Linked DNA regions of Callithrix jacchus. The protein of the gene in region 2 purifies or fractionates together with the protein of the main gene of each other region. This does not show direct contact. Links are inferred from orthologs where the notes say so. Each region holds a gene or a part of one and is shown on either strand. Other genes may lie near its edges.

Region 1 (4,049 bases), on a different chromosome or scaffold from region 2:
GTAGAAGGATACAAAAGACTGGCTCCCTTGCCTTAAGGAGGCCTAAGTGTGATGCCATTTGTGCTCACAGTTCTCCATGACAGCAAGCGGAAGCTAGTCTCTATGTGAGACCACACTCTGCCTCAGCCTTAGCCTTTTTCCCTGCCCTGTCTTGCTTCCCTCACCCTCTTCTCCTGAGAGCACTTCCCCAATAATTCACTCGAGCAAGAATGATCATCTTAGGCTCTGCTTCTAGGGAACCTGACCCATGACACCCTCTGTTAGCTTCCTCAGAAACTATCTTATTGGTTCCTCTAGAACAAATTCCTGTCTTGGACTCTGCTTATGACCACCCCCTTCATTCCCCTGCCAAGGATGACAGCTTAATGAGGGCAATATCTTCTTCACTTCCCTAGAATTGTTCCTAGAAAACAGTACGTGATGAATGATGCACTGAATGCATGCAGCAGAGAGCCCTGGGTCTGTCTGACAGCTCAGCATTCAGCAACCCTTCTGACCTGGGATAGCCTGGCCTGGAGGCATTGTGAGTCATAGCAGGTAGACACTAGCTGAGTGGGTCAGAGACGGAGCCAGGCCTGGGACAGGAGCTCAGCAACTCCACCACATCTTCCAGGTGAGGCACAACATACAGTGAGAACTAATGGGGAAGGGTCCTCTGACAAGATGCAATCTCAAGGGTGGGCCTAGATGTGGACTTCCAGAGACCATCTCCCTAAACCACATCTTGGGGATGGCATGTACCATCCAGCCTCTGCCCAGCTATACGTGAGGGATAAGTGTGTTATGAATTAACGAAGGTATAAGAGGGAAGCCTGCTCAAATTCTTTTTCTTCTCACTGTCCATGGGCAGAAGAGAAATTAAAAACAACATATAACTCCTTGGCCAGGTGTGTTGGCTCATGCCTGTAATCCTAGCACTTTGAGAGACCAAGGCGGGCAGATCACAAAGTTAGATTGAGACCATCCTGGCTAACACTGTGAAACCTCATCTCTACTAAAAATACAAAAAATTAGCCAGGCGTGGTGGCATGTGCAGGTAGTCCCAGCTACTAGGGAGGCTGAAGTAGGAGAATTGCTTGAACCCGGGAGGTAGAGGTGGCAGTGAGCTGAGATCATGCCACTGCACTCCAACCTGGGCTACAGAGCGAGACTCCATCACAAAAACAAACAAACAAAAACACATAGCTCCCTTTTTCACATAATAGAATCAGCACTTACTGGGCAGGGGAGTACAGGGAGAAGTGAGCAAAATGGGACTTGTCTGTTATCTGGACTTTGGATTCCCTTAGGACATAATATGTTTGGAACAAAAGTCATGTCTAGTGTGCACAATCTGTCATGTCTGTTACTTTGAGCCCTATGCATAGCTCTAGCCCATGGCACACACCCTAGGATGTCAGTGAACACACTGGACCGTGGTCTACACAGGCATCTGTCTTCCAAGCTGGATCAGGAGCATCTTGAGGGCAGGCAGAGGCTGTTTCAGGTCCTCCTTCCAAGACCAGGACCTGGCACAGAGAATATGCTAGTTGACTGAATGATGAGGGCAATCATGCTGTTGGCTATGCTAGACACCCTCCCAGATTGTTTCCAGAATCCAGATCTAACCCTAGCTTTGTAAGCCTTCAGCAGTTCCCTCTTACACACAAAAAGAAGTATAAGCTTCTGAGCCTGCCTGTGCAGCACCCTCACATAGTGCCCCGGTCCACCTTCCCAGCTTCCTCTTCTGCTCTTCTCAGCACCAATCCTATCCAAGCTCGTGTTCACATCTGAAACATGAAAGTCCTGTCGGGTGCGGTGGCTCACACCTGTAATCCCAGCACTTTGGGAGGGAGAGGTGGGCGGATCACCTGAGGTCAGGAGTTCGAGACCAGCCTGGCAAACATGGTGAAACCCCATCTCTACTAAAAATACCAAAAAAATTAGCCAGGCATGGTGGCGGGTGCCTGTAATCCCAGCTACTCTGGAGGCTGGGGCAGGAGAATTGTTTGAACCTGGGAGGCAGAGGTTGCAGTGAGCAGAGACCGTGCCATTGCACTCCAGCCAGGACAACAAGAGCGAAACTACGTCTATAAAAACAAAAACAAACAAATAAACAAACAACCCTGCTTGGCTCTTCCCTCTGCCTTTCTGCTCTCCATTTTCCATCCTCAGCTCACCTGGCAAAGTCCTACTCCTTTCAATACCTACTTGTCTCTGCTACCATTCCCTACCCCTCACCCTTCCAGCTGAAACTAAGAGAACAGGGCGCTCCTAGCGTCCTTCATCTGCATATTTATCCCAGCGCCTGATACTCAGTGGTCTTTGGGTAAGGTGATTTAGGTGAGACGGCTGCCTGTGCAGCGTGGAGGGACGGGCTCCTCGGTGGCCAGCACCTGGTTAGCCACAGCCGCAACCCTAGCTGCAGGGCTAAGCCATGTCCACCGGCCTCGAGGTTTGATAGGCAGCCTGTATTGAGCAAGCTGCTCACTCATACTCTTGCCTCCCAGCAGCCCCTCTGGCTCGCCTTCATCATTCTGGACATCCAGGTTCCCGAGGCAAGAGCGCAGCCAGTGCTGGGGAGTCGCCAGCACTCCCGAGGCTCCCCTCCTAGCACCTGCGTGCCCTACAAGGTCCACCCAGCACTCGCCATGGCAACCTTCGAGTGCCTGACTACGAGCCATGCCAGCCACGTGTGGGAGCAGCTGCGGCAGTTTTGGGCCGATCACATCTCGCGGCGCTTCTCGCCACGGCGGCCGCCAGCGCGCCGCATCTCCTCCCTGTCCACCTCCTACCTGCTGGATTACAGCAAGCGCCAGGCCGAGCTGGGCCTCTGCTACGGCGCGCCGCGCATACGCCTCGAAAACCAGGCCTTCGAGTTCCGCGGCGGCCGGTGGACAACGGAGGGTCACTTGGCGCCGACCGTCTCGGGCTGGAAGGCGCAGGAGCAGTGGACCACGATCCAGGTGTTGCTGAAGGAGAGCAACTACCTGAAGCTGCAGCAGGAAGTGCTCATGAATATGCTGACTGAGACCACGGCGCGCATGCACCTGCTGGAAAAGCAGCTCAACCTCGAGGTGACTCCGGCTGCTGCAGCGCACGCCCGACAGAGGAAGATGCGCAAGCGCGCAGGCGCCAGCGGGGACGTGCTCAGGATCCAGCCTTGAGTTCTGGACTCGCAGTGACGTAATAAAGCCCGCGCTGCGCATGCGCGCCTCGTTCCTTGTGACTAACCCTGACCCGCCAGGGACTGTGGCGGTTTCTGTTCCCTGGGCGAGGTTTTGCGTGCGGGCGGGGGCGGTCTGCGTGGCCTCGGGGACTGCCCCTCGGTGCTGGGTGTCGGCGGGGGACGCAACCCTAAGCAACGCATCTCGGGAGGGTGCGATGGGGCCGTGGAGGAGGGTCTGCGCGTGACTTCGGGAGCGCGGGCTGGAAGCCAGGCTTGCCTCGGGCAGGGCCCAGACAGGGTGGAGTGGCAGGTAATGGCCTTGCAAGCCATACAAGTAACCGAGGGCGAAGTCCCGCAGGCGGAGGAACCGTGGCGCTCAGGGAATAGAGGGTGCGGTGCGGCAGGAGCTGAGAACAGTGTGGGGGGGCTTTGCACTTGGTCGGTCCTCTGGGCCTCTAGGATCAGGAGGTTTAGAAACTAGGAGTCCTAGGGTAAGTGTATTTTACATTCCCAAGAGAAGCTTTCTCGAAACCTTGGGTTGTGCGGTCCCCACTTGCCGGTGTGGCATTTTGGAGAGTTGCGTCTCTGTTACAGGCCTCCTTTTTTTTTTTTTTTTTTTTCCCTAAACACTGGGTCTGGCTCTGTCACCCAGGCTGGAGTGCAGTGGCGCGATCATGGCTCACTGCAACCTAGACCTTCCGGGCTCAAGCAGTCCTCCCACCTCAGCCTCCCATACTGGTGGGATTACAGGCGTAAACCACCGCGCCCAGCACAGGCCTCCTTTTATGCTTCCATAGAATGCGGTCTTCTCTACCCACAATCTTAAAAATTGCATTTGTTGCCAAGGTTTCAGAATTTGGAGATAACACATTAAAAATCCAGATTTATTGGGGCCGGTCGT
Region 2 (4,311 bases):
TTACAGGTGTAAGCCACTGTGCCTGGCCTACTTTATTTTAAAAAGTTTTTATTAATTTAATAGATTTGTTTGATGATCTTTCTAAATGCCTTCATTCTAAGATATGTCATCATACATGTCTAATACTGCTAGCAGGTTCATGGTTCATTTACACGCACACATATATACACATGTATGGAGAAATACCTATTTATTACCTAAACATTAAAAAATACATATAAGCAAGAACGGAGAATTTAAATTGCCCCAAATTCTACTTATTGGAGGTAACCATTGGAATATATATGTGTATATATATGATTATAAATACATATTTAAAAAAAAAGATTGCTTCCTCTCTTGGCCATATATTATGGATATCCTCTCCAGGATATATATATATATATATATATATATATATATATATATATAGCATAACTTTAAAAACATTGTAGTAAACATTGTAGTAAAAGATACATAACAAAATTTACCATCGTAACAATTTGGAAGTGTACAGTTCAGTGGAATTAGGTATATTCACATTGTTGTGCAACCATCACCCCCATCCATCTCCAGGACTTTACCATCTTCTCAAACTAAATTGTGCACCCGTTAGACAGCAGCATTTTTTTTTTGAGATGGAGTTTTGCTGTTTGTTACCCAGACTGGAGTGCAATGGCACGATCTTGGCTCACCGCAACCTCCGCCTTCTGGGTTCAAGCAATTCTCCTGCCTCAGCCTCCCGAGTAGCTGGGACTACAGGTGCGCACCACCATGCCCAGCTAATTTTTGTATTTTTAGTAGAGACGGGGTTTCACCTCGTTGACCAGGATGATCTCGATCTCTTGACCTCCTGATCCACCCGCCTCGGTCTCCCAAATTGCTGGGATTACAGGCTTGAGCCACCGCGCCCGGCCCCACCCCTATTGTTATATATTTAGGTTTCTTTTTTTCTCTAGTATAAATATCCCTTATCAACAATGCTTCAGCAACATCTCTTGTTCATACATCTTGCAGACATATTATTTCTGAAGGATAAATTCCTAGAACTGGGATTTGCTAGGGCCCGCAGGAGGAATTCCAATTTACACTCACTTGTATGAGTGCAAGGACACTTTCAGACTCTAATGACAGGAGGTGTTACCATTCTTCTTTTGCTCTTTGTCCATGTGACAGGCAAAAGTTGCTCGTACTTTAATACTGTTTGGGTTGCTAGTACAGGTTCCGTCTTTTATCCTACATAGTGTTAGTGTCTTGATTCTGAACTTTCGCAGTGTGTCAGTGTAGAAACAGCTAACAGTTCCGATCTACACAACCCAGACATTCCATGACCCCAGGCTTACTTCGACGCTGCAAGCCTCCCTCTCTGTTCCCTGGAGCAAGCGCCCGAGTGCGTGTGGTGCTCCCGGTCGGCCACTGCTGGCTGTATTCCCTGCCCTTGCCCAGTCCTATTTCTCTGCGGAGGCTTGCCTAGGTCTTGTCTGCTGCGCTTGATGTAGCTCAGCTTTACAGCGTCTGGGCTAAGCCCACAGTTTCCTTTACAGAGCGAGTCTCCAACTTCAGGCGTCTGGGTCCCCGCACAGCGGGTCTGGCTCGGAGTGGGGAATCCGCCTTCCCAGCAAGACCCCTGCTGATGCCGCGGGTCTGAGGACTACGCTTTGGAACCCAAGGCCTCGCAGTGCGTCGAGATCTGACAGCTTCTCTGCACGGGCCTAGCACCAATAGTCGATCAACGCAAAATCGTCTTCGCAAGTTCAGGAAGCAGAAACCAGAGCGGGAGACTGGGTAGGTGCGCGCTGGCACCGTCGCTGCGCTTGCTCCGGCTTCAGTGCACGGTCGGAGGTGGACGCTAGGGGGCAGCAGCGTTGCGCTCGCCCCTAGGCCGTGCTTCCGCCCGCGCAAGCGCAGTAGGACCAGCGCGTGCTGGCCTGGGGTGGCAGGGCCGCAGAGACTTGGGTTGCAGGTAGGTGCTGGGGCGAGGAGGGGCGAGAGGGCCAAGGGGCAAGGGCTTAGAGGGGCGGCAGGGCTCAACGGCGAGGAGCGAGGGGCGAGGGGCTTGCAGCTGGGTTTCCCGCGGGGCCTATACGTGACGCGGCCTGTATCCCCCACAGCACCGGCCGCCTCCACGCGAGCGGTCCGGAGGCTCCCAAGGAGGCTGCGCGGGGTCAGGGCAGCCTCGTCCACCGCGCCCGGCCCCCTCCTCCGCGCCCCGCCCTGCGCTAGAGCTGGACATTAAAGGACCCGACAAGGGCCGGTCGCGATGGCTTCCGCCGGTAATCACAGCGGTTTTGGAGGCCGAGGCAGGAGGATCGCTTGAGCTCAGGGGAGAGCAGCCTGGGCAACATGGCGGAACCCCTGTCTCTATTAAAAAACTTGGCTGGCTGCTGTGGCCCGCCTGTTATCCCAGAGGTGGGAGAATCGCTTGAACCCAGGGGCAGAAGGTTTCAGTGAGCGGAGATCACGCCGTTGCACTCCAGCCTGGGGGACAGAGTGTGAGGCTGTTTCTATTATTTTGTTATTATTTGAGACGGAGTCTCGCTCTGTCGCCCAGGCTGGAGTGCATTGGCTCGATCTTGGCTTCCAGGTTCAATCCATTCTCCTGTCTCAGTCTCCCGAGTAGCTGGGGTTATGGGCACCCATCACCATGCCCGGCTTAGTTTTGTATTTTTGGTAGAGATGGGGTTTCGCCATGCTGACCAGGCTGTTCTCGAACTTCTGGCTTCAGGTGATCCACCTGCCTCGGCCTCCCATAGTGCTGGAATTACAGGCAAGAGCCTGGTGGAGGCTGTCTCTATTTAAAAACAAACAAAACAAAACAAAACGAAAAAACCGGAAAGGACTCCACCTCAGCTCTTTGCCTTTGTGTGTTTATTTTACACGAGATCATTGTTGCCCAGGTGTGTTGTGTAATCATATTCTCTTTTTTAGAAAGCAGAATTTCGCTGTTTTATTGCATAATCTTGTCTTTACCACCCTTCACCTTTACTACAGAACCCTAAAGCTGAATAAACATCCAGAATGTTTAAAATAATCCTCTTAATGTACCTTGTGCTTTATTGGCAAGATGGAATTCTACTCTAAATTGTATTGAATGACACTACTCTGTCTTCTCTAGTTGTAGAACATACCTTGTAAGTCGGTAAAAACTAGTTTTGTTCCTGTGCTTTTCTTTTTTCTTTAAGCTGTAAATGTAGAGCAGTGGATCCCAAGTTTTTCTCTATCAGTAAGTCTTCCTATATGTCGTGCCTGAATTTCTCCTGCCCTATCTGCCCACCTTCTTTATTCCTTAACGTGCAGGCTGTTTTTCAGGACCAGTAAATTTCGGTGATTTTTGCTTGTTTCTGGACGGGAAACTTCCTTCAGCCACACAGCCTCATTCTATGCTCTGGGCGGCCTACTCCAGAATATGCCTCTGAAACAAAAAGCAAATCAGGGGTTGAGGTGGCCTAAAGTCTTCTTTAAGAAATCAGCAGTCCCAGGGTCCCCCAGGCAGCCCCCAGGTGACCACAGTGTGTTTGATTTAGTTCAGCTCCTAAGCATTGCAGAGGAAGAATGGGCTTGAGGCCAGAAAACTTGGCTCTTCTGTGTATAATTTAGTGACCTTGGATATATTACTTCATCTCTGACTCAGTTGTCTTATCTGTGAAATGGGAATAACAATAATTATATTCACCTCACAGAACTGGTGTGAAGTTGATATTCAGATGAATTTTTGGGTATTTTTAAATTTATTTCATTTTGGTTTGGTTTCTTTTTGCTGAGAGGATTCAGAAGTGAATGTGAGAACTTAGGGTTAATAGAAAAGGTTACTGGGGAATATAAAATTTGGATTCAGCAAGAAATGCATTAAAGGTTTTCTGAGTAATGATGAGGGTCCAACGCAGATTAGAAAATATGCATTTCCAGAGTCCTACAGAGTTTTGTATCTGATTTTGGCAGCCTTTGAGTGGAAATGAAGAAGTGGACAGGGCAAGTTACACGGGGCTGGTGAGTGACAGGCAGATCTGGGTTTATGATAAAGCCTCTAGACGCTTTACTTGCACAAATACCTTCCAAAACCCTGGCAAGGGGCTCAGCAGTTTTACATTCATAATTGCGTATTTTTCCCTTAAAGAATTACCGTCCCTTGCCCCCAGTTGTGTAAGCTTCAGGCCCCATAAGACCTGACATCACCCCTAGTGGCAAGGAAGGATTGGTGGGAGGTTAGGCATAAGGAGGGTTGGAGAGTTGAAGGGATTCACCATGGGGTTTGAGCTGGGGAACTCGGATTGGAGAAGGAGGTGGCAGATAAGGGGCCTCATAGGATAGGAACCTTGAGGAGAGGAAGAGCAG
Region 3 (4,480 bases), on a different chromosome or scaffold from region 2:
AACAAATTAAATCTCAAATCCTGAAAGCATTTGAATATATGTCCCTGAACAAGCAAAAATTATAACAAAAGTAACATTACAAGGTACTTTATATTATTTCATTTAAAATACCCAGTAACCCTGTAAAATAGTCAAGTATCATTATCAACATTTTACCAGTAAAGAAATTGAGACCTAGAGAAGTGGACTAGACCAGAACCACAAAGTTATGAAGTAGTGACGCTCGAGCTTTAAATCCAAGATTTTAGTGTTGAAATTCCCCAATCTTTCCTTTATATCTTGTCACGTGATTAACAGAGATAAGGAGGAAGCACTAACAGTATTCCCTGGCTTTCAGCTATTGATTCAGCAGGGCTACGGGACAGACGGTCTCCCCCAAACTCTCAGATACCCCACATCACACTAACCCAATGTTAAAGATCCAATTATTTGTGGGAAAAAAATGATCTAAATGCAACAAATCAATCAGATTTTTCTCTTTAGAGCCCAAGGTTGACTAAACATCATTACTATAACAGAGGATGACATTCTCAAAGAATGAATTCTAAGTTATGAACAAAAATCTTCTACATCAAAAGATAGTTTTACTTCAAATTATATGTAGTCGCACTAAGTACAGTACTGTTACATATTAATAGACCACCTTACACCATTATTTTGCCACATTTAAAACAGGAGCTCCACTTCTGAAAACTCTGCTAAAGGAAATAAGACAATTTCAACTATTACCTCTTCCAGTTCTTGTTACATAATGTTATATTTCAAAACATATCACTAAAAGTGCAACCTATCTAAATTCCAATAATGAACAAACCCAGCTCTGGTCTCAAAGCTGGTGTTAAAACAAACAAACAGCATTTACATCACACACTTCTTCTCCAAGAAATATAACCAGGCAACCAGAAATATCCCAAGTTACAGGTTTCCCCATGACTCTAACTAATCAGCTGGTTCTCATATGTCAACCCTATTAACCTTGTGTCTTAAAATATACACATATTCTTATGTCAAATATAGTTGTTTCTAACAGCTATAGCAAAACCCCTTTCAACTGAGAGTATAACATAATAAAATAAGTATATACTTATTAAACCTCTCCAGTACATAACACTCCATTGAATTTTCTGCCACAAAAATCTAATGAGCACTCCCTTTTCTGGGGTTTACATGTGGGGAAAGTTTGTAATATGCTTAGAGTATCAAGTATAATACAATATGCAAACACAATGCTGCACTACTACAGAGTAACTGAAGAACATACTTCTCAAAAAAAAGTCAATCATTCTCATCCAAAATACATGTACACGGTACACCCAAAAATATACACCTGTCATACATTATTAGTTACTATCGCGTTCTGTAAACTTAGTCTGTTTTGGAGGACTTAACAAAAGTTTAGCTTGTTAATACCTAAAAATCTCCAGACCAGCGGTCCCACGCCTGAAAAGAACTTATCATCAACACCAGTGAGAATTTTAACAAACCAAAACTACAAGCCACTGCATGAAGCAGTACTTAAATTCCTCTGCTGGTAAATGCTCCACAGCATCACAGCCATCTCAAGTTCAACACTAAGTAGTTAGAGGAGAGCTGCCTACGGGCCAGTCAAAAATCTTTGCGAACTGTCACAAAACAGAAGTCACAGAGCATGTGCCAGCTTTGCAGCCAATTCAAAACATCCTAGTACCATCGAACTCAGGCGATTCCCAGAGCAAATTATCTAGAATAGCCTATGCAATTTACCAAAATGCCAAGCAGTCCCCAGGAGTGTAGAGAAAATGATCATTTTGGTCCCAGGACCGGCTCCTCTTCACAAGAGGATGAATTTCCTACTTAGTGCCAACTGGACACTTGTATACTCCGAAAATAGGGGCAAGCCGTGTATACCAGAGGTTACAAGGGCAGTGTTTCTATTTTATTACGGGCTGAAGCTCAGAAGGTTCCCAATGCTGAAACGCTCGACCTATAACCCAAAAGTCACTTTCCAACTGCGCTCTCACCCAGGATCATTATATCCCAAACGGAAGCCAATTATTACCTGTAACAAGGCCTGGAAAAAACAGAGGACTTTAAAAGTTCACCTAAGAAACACCGAAACGGGGTGGGGGGTGGTGGATGTGGGGAGGACTTCGAGGGAGAGGGTCAACCTTAAAGCATCTCGGGCTCAAACATTTTAAAAGCCAAAATACGTACAAAGACCCCAGGCAGAGAGAGGCACACAGACACTCAGTCATCCCGACAGAATGGGGTGCCAGGGGTTCCGTAAGACCAGCCGTCGGGATCGAGGCTCCGATGTGTCCCGGGAAGGTCTGGGAAGCCAGGCCAGGTCCGCATTGTGGCCGGGCGGTGCGCGCAGCCCCTGCTCCCGGGCCCCTTTCTCTCTCCCCATCCCCACGACCAGGCCTCTCCCGGCTCCTCTCCCCTTCTCACTCCCTCTGTCCCTCCCCTCCCCCCCCCGACACACAAAACCAGGCCACCTCCCCCCGAACCCCACCAACTTTCCAGTGCCCCCACTCTTCCCACCTCTCAGGAGCACACAGAAGCTGCAGGCCAGGAGGCTCCTCAGGACGGCCCCCATCTTCCCTTCTCGCGTTCTCTTCTCTCACCGGCGAGGGGCGGCAAGAAGACGGGGAGGCGAGGAGCCGGGGCGGCCGCCGCAGCGGCAGGACTGCACGCTCATGCTTCCCAGCTTCCCACCGAGAGAAGAAAGAAAGGGGCACGTCAAGGCTCCGCGCGCGCCGCCGCCGCCCTCTCTACCGCGTCGCTCGGCCCCAGGCTCGCGCGACGCCAGCGTCTGCTTCCATCCCGCCGCCTCCTCCCCCGGCGCCCCGCTTCCCCCGCGCAGCTCCTCATTCAGCCTCTGCCTCGCGCAGCGGCGCAGGGATACGGCCGGCGCCGCCTCCAAGGTTCGGAACGAAGACGTGTCCCTGCGCACGGCGAGCCCCCTCCCCCGGCGCTGCCTCCTGCACGGCTGGGGAAAGGAGTCGGCAACCGCACGCACGGCCTCGGCGTAAGATTCCTGCAGAGGTGCTGGGGTAGCAGAGGCGAGCTGGCGAGGGAAGGCCTCCGGCCGGCGGCGCATTCCAGCGGGATTCTTTCCCGGACCGGCCGCTTCGGCCCTCCCCGCGGAGGGCGTGAGGCGGGACCGAACAACATTGGAGCCGGCGTGGTCGGGACTACTTTCTGCGGCTCTGCCAGGCAGCCGTCTGCTCCGGTCTTTGTGCGGCCGCCGTCGGCAGCGCCAGGTTGGGCTCCGGGCCCGCGCCCCCAGCCACCTGGGACGGCCCAGCCGCGGTGCACGCGAGGGGAGCCACGGCGGATCCCGTTGCGGCGAGATCAGCTCCGTCTTCGGGGTTGGAAACGGGTTTCAGCATCCTCTTTTTTGGGGCTGGAGTTCTTGAACGCTGGTTACACTGGCTTTCAACGTGGATCTGGTGAAGGATGTTAAAACGCCAATTCAAAACTGAGATTGTTATTTCTCTCCTGCCTTCCCAGAAGTACAAACTGGATTAAGCCCGACCAACACTAAAGATTTCTAAACTGACAAATAAAATTTCAGAATTAAGCCCGCCCAACACTAAAGATTTCTAAACTGACAAATAAAATTTCAAGATATATGCGTCAAAACCTAAGACAGAAAAAAGGGACAATTGGACAAAACTATTTAAGATTTCATAAGTTGCATATAATAACGAATGTTTGGCATGCTTTGATGATCAATTATCAGCTTGAGAAGGAAAGGATTCACCAATCTCAAGACTGTACACAGCCTCTGCCGCTCCCAATGCACTGGGCATTCAGGAATAATGGCCCAGACGCCTCCTGAAATCACCTGCCAGGCGTCAGTCTGGGCAGAGGCGCTCCAAGAATTAACCCTAATGAAGCCATCAGATGCATCCTGCCCAGCTGACACACGCCCTTACCTGGAGGCAGATGGGCAAGAAAGTGAAGCTGCTACCACAGTGTTACTGAAATACCCTAGCTTGGCTGTAATGAATACATTTTAAACAATCCTGCTAACTCCATTTTGCCCACCCTGAGCTATCTTGCCCACCCTGAGCTATGTAAGGCATTCTGTTCTGAAAGCTTGTGGTTTGAAACGCCTGGCATCTTTGTAACCAATTTTCTGAGAAACAGGGCCCACTGGCCTATACAACGGTGCAACTGCTACCCCATATCCTGAGTAAAAAACAACTTTAACCATGGAATATTATGCAGCAATCAGAAATGATGAGTTCGTGTCGTTTGTAGGGACATGGATGAATCTGGAGAACATCATCCTCAGCAAACTGACACAAGAACAGAAAATGAAACACCGCATATTCTCACTCATAGGTGGGTGATGAAAAATGAGAACACATGGACACAGGGAGGGGAGTACTAAACACTGGGGTCTATTGGGGGGAAAAGGGGAGGGCCAGTGGGAGGGGGAGGTGGGGAGGGATAGCCTGGGGAGAAATGCCAAATGTGGGTGAAGGGG

Evidence for each region.
Region 1: the proteins of POMK (region 2) and CANX purify together in Homo sapiens (affinity purification with mass spectrometry; 3 studies listed by BioGRID and IntAct, counting the BioPlex papers as one, with this or other methods). This does not show direct contact. The link is inferred for Callithrix jacchus from reciprocal best matches to the Homo sapiens genes POMK and CANX.
Region 3: the proteins of POMK (region 2) and LRP6 purify together in Homo sapiens (affinity purification with mass spectrometry; 3 studies listed by BioGRID and IntAct, counting the BioPlex papers as one, with this or other methods). This does not show direct contact. The link is inferred for Callithrix jacchus from reciprocal best matches to the Homo sapiens genes POMK and LRP6.

Annotation. Positions count from the first base shown.
Region 1 is NC_133503.1:71,973,348-71,977,396, forward strand, and holds the start of CANX (calnexin), read right to left. Parts: upstream 2,490-4,049; intron 2,435-2,489; coding exon of another isoform or gene 2,417-2,434; intron 1,509-2,416; 5' UTR 1,388-1,508; intron 1-1,387. Other genes in the region: CBY3 (sperm annulus positionning complex subunit Chibby3), read left to right, coding at 2,417-2,434, 2,490-3,146. UniProt on the Homo sapiens protein: Calcium-binding protein that interacts with newly synthesized monoglucosylated glycoproteins in the endoplasmic reticulum. It may act in assisting protein assembly and/or in the retention within the ER of unassembled protein subunits.
Region 2 is NC_133514.1:44,881,350-44,885,660, forward strand, and holds the start of POMK (protein O-mannose kinase), read left to right. Parts: upstream 1-1,423; 5' UTR 1,424-1,764; intron 1,765-1,883; exon of another isoform or gene 1,884-1,942; intron 1,943-4,311. UniProt on the Homo sapiens protein: Protein O-mannose kinase that specifically mediates phosphorylation at the 6-position of an O-mannose of the trisaccharide (N-acetylgalactosamine (GalNAc)-beta-1,3-N-acetylglucosamine (GlcNAc)-beta-1,4-mannose) to generate phosphorylated O-mannosyl trisaccharide (N-acetylgalactosamine-beta-1,3-N-acetylglucosamine-beta-1,4-(phosphate-6-)mannose).
Region 3 is NC_133510.1:11,023,201-11,027,680, reverse strand, and holds the start of LRP6 (low-density lipoprotein receptor-related protein 6), read right to left. Parts: upstream 2,892-4,480; 5' UTR 2,579-2,891; coding exon 2,524-2,578; intron 1-2,523. UniProt on the Homo sapiens protein: Component of the Wnt-Fzd-LRP5-LRP6 complex that triggers beta-catenin signaling through inducing aggregation of receptor-ligand complexes into ribosome-sized signalosomes.